Ovis aries: one gene and its partner. The protein of the gene in region 2 interacts with the protein of the main gene of each other region in a pairwise test. Links are inferred from orthologs where the notes say so. Each region holds a gene or a part of one and is shown on either strand. Other genes may lie near its edges.

Region 1 (4,967 bases), on a different chromosome or scaffold from region 2:
GACAGGGATCAAGACCATCCCCATGGAAAAGAAATGGAGGCCTTACAAATAGCTGTGGAAAGAAGAGAAGCGAAAAGTAAAGGAGAAAAGGAAAGATACAGGCATCTAAATGCAGAGTTCCAAAGAATAGCAAGAAGAGATAAGAAAGCCTTCTTCAGCGATCAGTGCAAAGAAATAGAGGAAAACAACAGATTGGAAAAGACTAGAGATCTCTTCAAGAAAATTAGAGATACCAAGGGAACATTTCATGCAAAGATGGGCTCGATAAAGGACAGAAATGGCATGGAGCTAACAGAAGCAGAAGATATTAAGAAGAGGTGGCAAGAATACACAGAAGAACTGTACAAAAAGATCTTCATGACCCAGATAGTCATGATGATGTGATCACTAATCTAGAACCAGACATCTTGGAATGTGAAGTCAACTGGGCCTTAGAAAGCATCACTACGAACAAAGCTAGTGGACGTGATGGAATTCCAATTGAGCTGTTTCAAATCCTGAAAGATGATGCTGTGAAAGTGCTGCACTCAGTATGCCAGCAAATTTGGAAAACTGAGCAGTGGCCACAGGACTGGAAAAGGTCAGTTTTCATTCCAATCCCAAAGAAAGGCAATGCCAAAGAATGCTCACGCTACTGCACAATTGCACTCATCTCACATGCTAGTAAAGTAATGCTCAAAATTCTCCAAGCCAGGCTTCAGCAATATGTGGACTGTGAACTCCCTGATGTTCAAGTAGGTTTTAGAAAAGGCAGAGGAACCAGAGATCAAATTGCCAACATCCGCTGGATCATGGAAAAAGCAAGAGAGTTCCAGAAAAACATCTATTTCTGCTTTATTGACTATGCCAAAGCCTTTGACTGTGTAGATCACAATAAACTGTGGAAAATTCTGAAAGAGATGGGAATACCAGACCACCTGACCTGCCTCTTGAGAAACCTGTATGCAGGTCAGGAAGCAACAGTTAGAACTGGACATGGAACAACAGACTGGTTCCATAGGAAAAGGAGTGCATCAAGGCTGTATATTGTCACCCTGCTTATTTAACTTCTATGCAGAGTACCTCATGAGATACGCTGGACTGGAAGAAGCACAAGCTAGAATCAAGATTGCCAGGAGAAATATCAATAACCTCAGATATGCAGATGACACCACTATTATGGCAGAAAGTGAAGAGAAACTAAAAAGCCTCTTGATGAAAGTGAAAGAAGAGAGCAAAAGAGTTGGCCTAAAGCTCAACATTCAGAAAACGAAGATCATGGCATCCGGTCCCATCACTTCATGGGAAATAGATGGAGAAACAGTGGAAACAGTGTCAGACTTTATTTTTTTGGGCTCCAGAATCACTGCAGATGGTGACTGCAGCCATGAAATTAAAAGACGCTTACTCCTTGGAAGGAAAGTTATGACCAACCTAGATAGCATATTCAAAAGCAGAGACATTACTTTGCCGACTAAAGTCCGTCTAGTCAAGGCTATGGTTTTTCCTGTGGTCATGTATGGATGTAAGAGTTGGACTGTGAAGAAGGCTGAGCACCGAAGAATTGATGCTTTTGAACTGTGGTGGTGGAGAAGACTCTTGAGAGTCCCTTGGACTGCAAGGAGATCCAACCAGTCCACTCTGAAGGAGATCAACCCTGGGATTTCTTTGGAAGGAATGATGCTAAAGCTGAAACTCCAGTACTTTGGCCACCTCATGAGAAGAGTTGACTCATTGGAAAAAACTGATGCTGGGAGGGATTGGGGGCAGGAGGAGAAGGGGATGACCCAGGATGAGATGGCTGGATGGCATCACTGACTCAATGGACGTGAGTCTGAGTGAACTCCAGGAGATGGTGATGAACGGGGAGGCCTGGCGTGCTGCGATTCATGGGGTCGCAAGAGCGACTGAGTGACTGAACTGAACTGAACTGAACTGAACTGAATATTAAATTTCCTGATTTTGAAAAATAAACTGTGATTATATAAGAGTATGTCCTTTTTCTTGAGAAGAACACAGTATTATTGCTGAAGAGTCATGATGTTTGAAACTTACTCTCAAATAGTTCAGTAAAAATAAAAGAATAAGAATGTGTATGGAAACATTTTATATATTCCATATATACTAGAGATTTAAAAAAAGCACGTGGTTAAATGTTAACAAAGAGTAAATTTAAGTAAAAGACAAAGGATTTCATTGTATTACTTTTATGACTTTTCTTTACGAAGATCAAATAATTCATTTTTATTAATTTCATTTTTCTATAGCTTAGTTTTATTTTTGAAAATTTTAATTTTATTACAGCAATTTATTTTAATGTTTATAAACAAATACTTTAGAAGATGTTTTATAATATGTCTGTACATTTTTGTGTTTGAAATGCTTTATAGTTCATCCCATGGCTTATGAATGCTATGTTATGAATTGCTCATAAAAAATAAAATACCATATAAATTTCAAAATACCAATATTACTATTTGCTTATGTGGTTCAGTCACTAATGGAGTGGGAACCTTTTAACTCTTGAAATTGACAAGTTCTACCTCAGGGAGTTGCTAAAGGAGCTAAAATAAAAACAGTGAGCCTGTGGTTGTCGGAAAGTCAACCTCTGTTGACTGTCTCAGCCTCCTTGCTCCCTCCGTTTTCTGCCAGCTACCTCACAAATGTTTGAGTGACCAAAAGATTAAAGTGTTTGTGGTGGCTTTTTGTTTCTGAGATTACAGACATGTGCAAAAACTGAAATCTCCTGTGGCCAGTGCAGTGTCTGTGGAAAGCCACTGCCCAAGTCAGTGGCGCCATAAAGGAGCGCTGTGACATTCTATCTCTGGGGTATGCCTGTGTATGTCATAGTGGCTGAAGGGGACCAGGGACCGTGTCTCTGATTCCTTTTGTGTATCTCAGTGTTAGCATCTGGTGTACTGGCTGGTTGCCTTTCATAAAACCTCTTTGAATTCTAGGCACACTGATGGTGTACCTGCTTTTAGAATAAATGAATGTGGCCTGCCAGTTTCCTCATACCTGTAATGAAAAAAATTCAATGATATCAAAACTATGTCTTTTTGCAGGTTAGGTTGATGACTGGGTTTGTTGCATTAATGTCATCAACAAGTTAATGTTTTCCTCTTTAAAAAAATCTAGTGTTGTTAGCAGTGAGCTGGAGACTAAAAATTTTCCACTTAAGTTTGTTTATAATCAAATTATAAAACATATTGTTTACAGTCATGAAAAAACTGAAAATAACTTTTATGCCCATTAATACAAAAATGGTTAAATCAGTAACTGTATCCATGCAGCTCTGAAGTGATTAAAGAGATTAAGGTAAGTCCGTATTTTCCAAAATTGAAAGATTTCTAAGACATATTTAATGTATTACTGTGTATTCATACAAATAAATGTAAATTGCAATTCATGTTAAAATTACAAAGGAGTAAATATAATCTAATCAGTGCAAATTATATAATTTCTTTCAACAGCTGATATGCATTCAGGATGGTTACCTTTCCCTGCTAACAGAAACTGGTGAAGTCCGTGAGGATCTTAAACTGCCAGAGGGTGAACTAGGCAAAGAAATAGAAGGAAAATATAATGCAGGTGAAGATGTACAGGTAAAGACGTATGGGGAGATTTTTTTTAAGCTATTTTATAAAAGCTTTGACCTAAATTAGTTAGCATAAAATACTATAAGAAATACGCCTGTTAAATACTGCTGAAATGTTGAAAAGGAACTCTAGAACTAGGCAGTTTCCCCAGGATACCGTTTACCATGCCTGTTTCAAAAGAAAGTATCAAAGTTCATTTTTCACTACATAGACACTGTCAACCCCAAATTTGTTTTGAAGGTCAGTCTGAACTATTCTGAAGGATGAGAAAGGATGTTACGGGAATTCTAAAGAGTGAAGGTGATTTATTTTATCTTTGTTATAACTTTCAGAAGTATAACATCTAAGTATTGCTGCATTTATAGTTCTTATTCTCCTGTTCCCTGGAAATTGTTTTAAAAACCACAGTTTTTAGAAAACTATATAGAAAGATGATTTGATCTTGGAATGCCTCTTTCCAAAATAAGTATGTATAAAACATCCACACATACTCACCTCATCCTCCTTCCCTCACTGTATCCACAAGTCTGTTCTCTATGTTTGGAAACGTATACATGACCACATGCAAAATAGATGAGCAGTGGGAACTTGCTGTATGATGCAGGGAGCTCAAACCCAGTGTTCTGTGACAACCTAGAGGGGTGGGAGGAGGGTCAACAGGGAGAGGACATAGGTATACCTATGGCTGATTCCTGTTGATGTAAAGCAGGAACCAACACAATATTGAAAAGCAATTATCCTCCAATTAAAAATAGATAAATTTTTAAAAGTTAAATAAGCAGGGTGAAAAATAGATCCACAATTATCCAGTGTATGATGAATTAAATATATCTTATATAGATATTGCCTTTTGAATAACTTTTTACCTGCTTTTTTTTTCCTTCTAGATATCTGTCATGTGTGCAATGAGTGAAGAATATGCTGTAGCCATAAAGCCCTGCAAATAAATGGGAACATCAGGCATGACCAAACTGTTTAGGTCTGGATCAACTACAGATCTAAAGTTTGGTTCTAAGTTGTCACCAAAGCTATGGCCTTCATAAGCAACCTCATTTCTTTTTCAGTTGTTTTGAAATTGTGCTGAGTTAGTTTTGTAGGCAATTAGTAATTTAAAAAAATAATCGAGATATATGACTTTTTTTTTTAATTTTGTAGGTGTCTTTACTATAACATTCCTGTGGTTTTCAGTATGTGAGTCCAAGAAACAGATGCGATAGCTTCAGCAGATGTGATTTGAGCAAATCATTCCTGAATTTTAGTTAAATGAGAAATAAACCAGGGTTTTAAACAATGTAGCATCCAGTGGTATTGATGTATCACATTTAAGTTGAATTGCTCTGCATTGATTTCAAACTTAATATCATAGAATAAGTAGATTATGGATTGGAA
Region 2 (5,414 bases):
AATACATGATTCCCCTTATGTGAGATAGTAGTCAAATCCCAGAAAGCAGAATGCCAGTTGCTGAGGAGAAAGGGGCATGGGGAGTTGTGTTTAATAGGTACGAAGTTTCAGTTTGGGAAGATCAAAGAGTTCTTGAGATGAATGGAGGTGATGGTTGTATAACAATGTAAAGGTACTTAATGCTTCTGAACTGTGGACTTAAGCATGGTTACAGTGGGGGACTTCCCTGTGGTCCAGTGGCTAAGACTCCACATTCCCAATGCAGGGGGCCTGGGTTCAATCCCACGGAACTAGAACCCTCGAGCCATGACTAAGATACAACATGCTGCAAGTAAGACCCAGTGCAGTCAAATAAGTATCTTTTAAAGAAGAGACAGACTACAGAGCTTTCTCTCTTAAAAAAAAAAAAAAAAAGTTACAATGTTAATTTCATGTTATGTGTATTCTACCACAGTTTTAGAAATTGGAAAAAATAAATCAGTCTTTCATTTTAAAAACTCTCCTATGGTTTCCCAGCCCGAGAATAAAACCCACCCTCCTTACCACAGCCCACAGGGCCCTGCCTGGTCTGGCACCTTCTGTCCTCTCTGAATCCTTTTCAACCCCTCCTTCATTCTTCACGGATCACCCTGACGTCTTTGTGTGTGTTTCATCTATTTTTGCTGAGATCCCAATGTGTGCCCAGCACTGCACAGAGTGAAGAGAACAGCAGCGAAACCAGACAAGATCCTGCCTTCACAGAACTGTTGTTCTAGTCAGGAAGGGATGAACAACAGCAAACAGAATATAACGTGTACTGTGAAAAATAAAAGCAAGGTAAGAGCAAGAGTGGGTGGTCAGGGCAGGCCTCTTGGAGGAGGTAACATTTGGATTGAGGCCCAGAGGAGGAGGAGCTGGGGAAGCAGGTGTTCCAGGCAGAGAGAGCAGCAAGTGCACTGGCGCTTGGTCAGGAAAGAGCTTGTTGGGTTCTAGAACAGTCAGATCAGTGGAGCTGGAGAAAAGTGAGTGGGGACAAGTGGTAGGGGATGAGGGTAGGTAAGTCAGTGCCTTCTTAGGCCACAAGGAAGAGCCCGAGTATTACTCTTACTGGGAAGCCACAATAAGAGGGTTTTTCTACAAAAAATTATTTATTATTTTTGGCTGTGCTGGGATATTTCTACCTCATTGCTACCCGGCCTCAGGGTACTCTTCATTGTGGTGTGCAGGCTTCTCATTTTGGTGGCTTCTCTTCTTGCAACGCATGGGCTCTAGGGCACGTGGGTTTCAGTAGTTGCGGCTCTCAGGCTCTAGAGCACAGGCTCAATAATTGTGGTACATGGGCTTAGTTGCTCGGAGGCATGTGGCATCTTTCCGACCCAGGTGTCAAACCCGTGTCTCCTGCATTGGCAGATGAATTCTTTACCACTGAGCCACCAGGGAAACACACAGTATATAGCGCAGACTCCATAAATTGTAGAGTGAGTGATTACAGGGATCTCACCGGACTAAACCCTATGCATGGTTAGGAGGACCCATGAGATTATAGACCCCACCCTCCAGCATCTCACAGGCTCGCTAGAGGGAAAGAGATGTCAGCCATGGATCCCACAGGAGATCCCTTACCCAGAGGAAAGTCAAGGAAGATTTCTCAGAGGATATGGCAGCTCAGCTGCCAGAGAAGACCAGGGGTTATGCCGCATATGGAGGCTCCAGAGACTCGCAAGACACGAACAGCGATCACGGTTCCATTTGACGAGAGACTCTCCGAGGCAGAAACTGTCTGATAACTCCAGGTGATTCGAATTCCGTCTAACGGCAACGTCTGAGAAACCATTCTCTCTTTGAGAGGGTATACACGAACCGGCAAGCTCCACGCAACGCGGTGGGTTTCCAGCAGGCGGCAGTAAAAGTAAAAATCATTCATCGGCGGCCGGGAACGCACGGAATAGAAATAATGGGTCCTCGCGGCTTCCGTATTACGGACTGTACAAGACAAGATGGCCGCGCCCTGGATTCCGGGCGCGGCGAGTCACGTGATTACACAACTTCCGGCACTCCCCAAGTGTTCCCCAGGCCTTGAGTCTCCTGCAGAAGTGCGTGCCGGGGCCTAGCGCAGTTCGAGGCCGCCAGAGGGCTGGCCTGGGGCGGCTCTGACTTGAGAGTGCAGCTGCAGGACCATGGAGGGTCCCCCTGAGAGGGAGGCGCCCGCGGCCGCGCTGGCCGCCGTGCTGAAGCACAGTTCGGCACTGCCTTTCGAGAGCGCGCAGGTCCGGGGCTACGACTTCAACCGCGGCGTGGACTACCGCGCACTGCTAGAGGCTTTCAGCACCACTGGTTTCCAAGCCACCAACTTCGGGCGCGCGGTACAGCAAGTAAACGCCATGGTGAGGCCTGGGTGAGACTTCCGGGGCTGAGGGGGAGTGGCCTCCAGTAGCACCCTGCGGTAGCTGGGGGCGGGACTTCTCTGGGAGGTGTGTTCTTCGTCCAATAGTGGGAGAGAGTATGGGGCCCGGGAGTTTCTGTTCTGGGGAGTGGTTGGGACTGATTCTGGGGCGGGGCGGGGAGCGGGCGTTATAGATAATAGGTGAAAGTATTGTGGAAGGGGCGGAGCCTGGGCTAGAAAGTCCATTTGAGCGAAGAATTGGAGGAGGACCCTTACACCCGCCCGGACCTGAGCCTGAGTTTGCATTTCCCCGTGGGGAGAGGGGTCGGGCCTGAAAAAGTGATGCTCTCGGATTCCTGAAAAGGGGCAAAGCCTAAGCATGTGACCTGAGACTTGGGCTGTGAACAGGGCAGAGCCTACACAAGGGTGTTCCTTCCCCTGTTCCAGGTAGAAGTGGTTCTCTGTCCTTGAATGGGCAGATCCTGGGCGGGGAGTCTGACACCAAAACCCACCGCGGGTCCTTGGGGTGGAATTTGGGGCCAGAGGTTAACTCAGCTCTGCCCATACCTAGATAGAGAAGAAACTCGAGCCTCTATCCGAGGATGAAGACCAACATGCAGACCTGACCCAGAGCCGACGCCCACTCACCGGCTGCACCATTTTTCTGGGCTACACATCCAACCTCATCAGTTCAGGCATCCGTGAGACTATCCGTTACCTCGTGCAGCACAACATGGTGGGACCTGGTGGGGGTGTGGCCTTGGGCTCCCCGCGTCTTAATGGGCAATAAGGTTACTGGTCATTTAAGTGAGATAGGGAGATATGGGTTAGTTTTGTTTTGCAGCAGAGGTCCCCACAGGGGTCACTGGATGAGAGTTGGGAGTTAGGAGTTCTGCTTGGAATAACTTCACTGCCTTGTGGCTGCAGGTGGACGTCTTGGTGACCACAGCTGGGGGTGTGGAGGAGGATTTCATCAAGTGCTTGGCGCCCACATACCTGGGCGAGTTCAGCCTCAGGGGGAAGGAGCTACGTGAGAACGGCATCAACCGGTGGGTAGGTGGGGGCTGAATGGTGCTGAGTAAGGGAGGCAGGCTGAGGGTCCTGGGCCCTGATGCCCATACATCTTCTGTCCCCAGGATTGGAAACCTGCTGGTGCCCAATGACAATTACTGCAAGTTTGAGGATTGGTTGATGCCCATTCTGGACCAGATGGTGCTGGAGCAGAACACAGAGGTGAGGCTGGAGCAACCTGGGGCTGGGGGAGGGTGCGTTTGCTGATGGCATGGTGGGTGTCAGGGGAGGCGCCGCTGCCTGAAGCCAATGTCTCCTCCTAGGGTGTGAAGTGGACACCTTCCAAGATGATCGCCCGGCTTGGCAAGGAGATAAACAACCCGGAGTCTGTGTATTACTGGGCCCAGAAGGTGAGGGACTGGCGGGGGCAAAGATGCCAGGTTTTTGGCATGTGTTGTTTCACTTTCACAGCCACCTGGGTAGTTGGTACTAGTCTCCTCATCCCTGCTCCTACATAAGGAGCCTCAGAAAGAGAAGTTAGGCAGTTTGTCTGAGGTCCTACAGCTATTGACTGTGGATCTGGTATTCTGGCTCTACTCCTAGACTGCTGGGAAGCAGTTGGAAAATACTTAGCAGCTCCTATGGGGACTCTTGGAAGGCTCCATGCTCCTCAGAGGCTCTGGGGTCTAGCAATCAGAAAAACAAGAACTATCATTCTTCATGTGCCAGGCCCAAGTGAAGTTAAGCACCCTGCCCAGAATCAGGCAAAGAAGAGGAAATGCCTGCAGGCTGCCCCTACAGGGGTTAGATCCGGCCCGCCTCCTGTCTTGCTCTTTTCTAGAACCACATTCCTGTGTTGAGCCCGGCACTCACAGATGGCTCGCTGGGTGACATGATCTTCTTCCACTCCTATAAGAACCCAGGCCTGGTCCTGGACATTGTTGAGGGTAAGATGTTGGGGCCCCGGAGGAGCAAGGGAGGAGGGCTGCCTGGGCCTGCAGTGGCCTGACTCAGCCCTCTCTCCCAGACCTCAGGCTCATCAACACACAGGCCATCTTCGCCAAGCGCACGGGGATGATCATCCTGGGTGGTGGCATGGTCAAGCACCACATCGCCAACGCCAACCTCATGGTGAGCAGGGATGCAGGCTGTGCGGCCCCTAGTGAGGGGTGGCACTTGTGCCTGCTGTGCAGACAGGCCTGTGTACTAGGCCCATGCCGTGTGCTGGGAAACAGTTGTGGACTAGACAGGCCAAGATCCCTGCCCTCCTGGAACTGATGTTCTAGTGGGGGAGATGAACAGCAAACCAGTGACAAGGTGACACGTACATCAGGTGGCAGTACTGGCTACAAAGAAAAATCAGGGATGACGACAAGAGGGCAGGAGAAAGGCATGCTATTCAGAAAAGGGAATGCTTCCTGGGAAGTGTGACCTGTGAGCAGAGGTTTTTCAGAGGCTGCTCCCATGAACCATGTGGTTATCTTAGGGAGTGGACATGAGATGAGTTTCTGGCAAGACTGGCCAGTGCAAAGGTTCTGAGGTGCCTGATGTAGGCACATCTTGGAGGCCAGTGAAGGGGAGAGTGAGAGGAGGTGAGGCCAGAAGTGACAGGCACAAAGTGCAAGGCCTTGAGGGCCACTCAGGTGCTCACAGGTACCCTCTGGCTGTGTGGGGAACAAACAGTGGGACTGGGGTGGGGAGTACAGAAAGGGAAGAGGTGCGGAGGTCTTCTCTAGAGTTGGTGGCAGATGTGGGTGGGCTCTTGGTACCTAGGAGGTGAGTCTGGAGCAAAGCCGCCCACTGCCCAGCACCCCATGACACCCCCACTTGGCCCAGGTGTTGACATGGAGCCCTTCCCTTGGAGTGAAGACCACCAAGGGCTTCCTGTATCTGGGACACATACAGTGCCTTTAGCTGTAGTGTCCTGCCCTGGACTCTGTCTGGCTGACCAGCCCATTCTGTCCCTCTCCACAGCGGAATGGTGCTGACTATGCTGTCTACATCAACACTGCCCAGGAGTTTGATGGCTCTGACTCAGGCG

What was found.
Region 1: the proteins of DHPS (region 2) and EIF5A2 interact in binary tests that used the Homo sapiens proteins (3 or more experiments, as listed by UniProt). The two-hybrid records come from large-scale screens. The link is inferred for Ovis aries from reciprocal best matches to the Homo sapiens genes DHPS and EIF5A2.

Annotation. Positions count from the first base shown.
Region 1 is NC_056054.1:217,242,424-217,247,390, forward strand, and holds part of EIF5A2 (eukaryotic translation initiation factor 5A-2), read left to right. Parts: intron 1-3,452; coding exon 3,453-3,584; intron 3,585-3,818; coding exon of another isoform or gene 3,819-3,845; exon of another isoform or gene 3,846-3,878; intron 3,879-4,465; coding exon 4,466-4,525; 3' UTR 4,526-4,557; exon of another isoform or gene 4,558-4,967. UniProt on the Homo sapiens protein: Translation factor that promotes translation elongation and termination, particularly upon ribosome stalling at specific amino acid sequence contexts.
Region 2 is NC_056058.1:11,114,925-11,120,338, forward strand, and holds the start of DHPS (deoxyhypusine synthase), read left to right. Parts: upstream 1-2,032; 5' UTR 2,033-2,156; coding exon 2,157-2,363; intron 2,364-2,605; exon of another isoform or gene 2,606-2,809; intron 2,810-2,933; coding exon 2,934-3,098; intron 3,099-3,289; coding exon 3,290-3,411; intron 3,412-3,498; coding exon 3,499-3,595; intron 3,596-3,696; coding exon 3,697-3,783; intron 3,784-4,214; coding exon 4,215-4,320; intron 4,321-4,400; coding exon 4,401-4,504; intron 4,505-5,347; coding exon 5,348-5,414. UniProt on the Homo sapiens protein: Catalyzes the NAD-dependent oxidative cleavage of spermidine and the subsequent transfer of the butylamine moiety of spermidine to the epsilon-amino group of a critical lysine residue of the eIF-5A precursor protein to form the intermediate deoxyhypusine residue.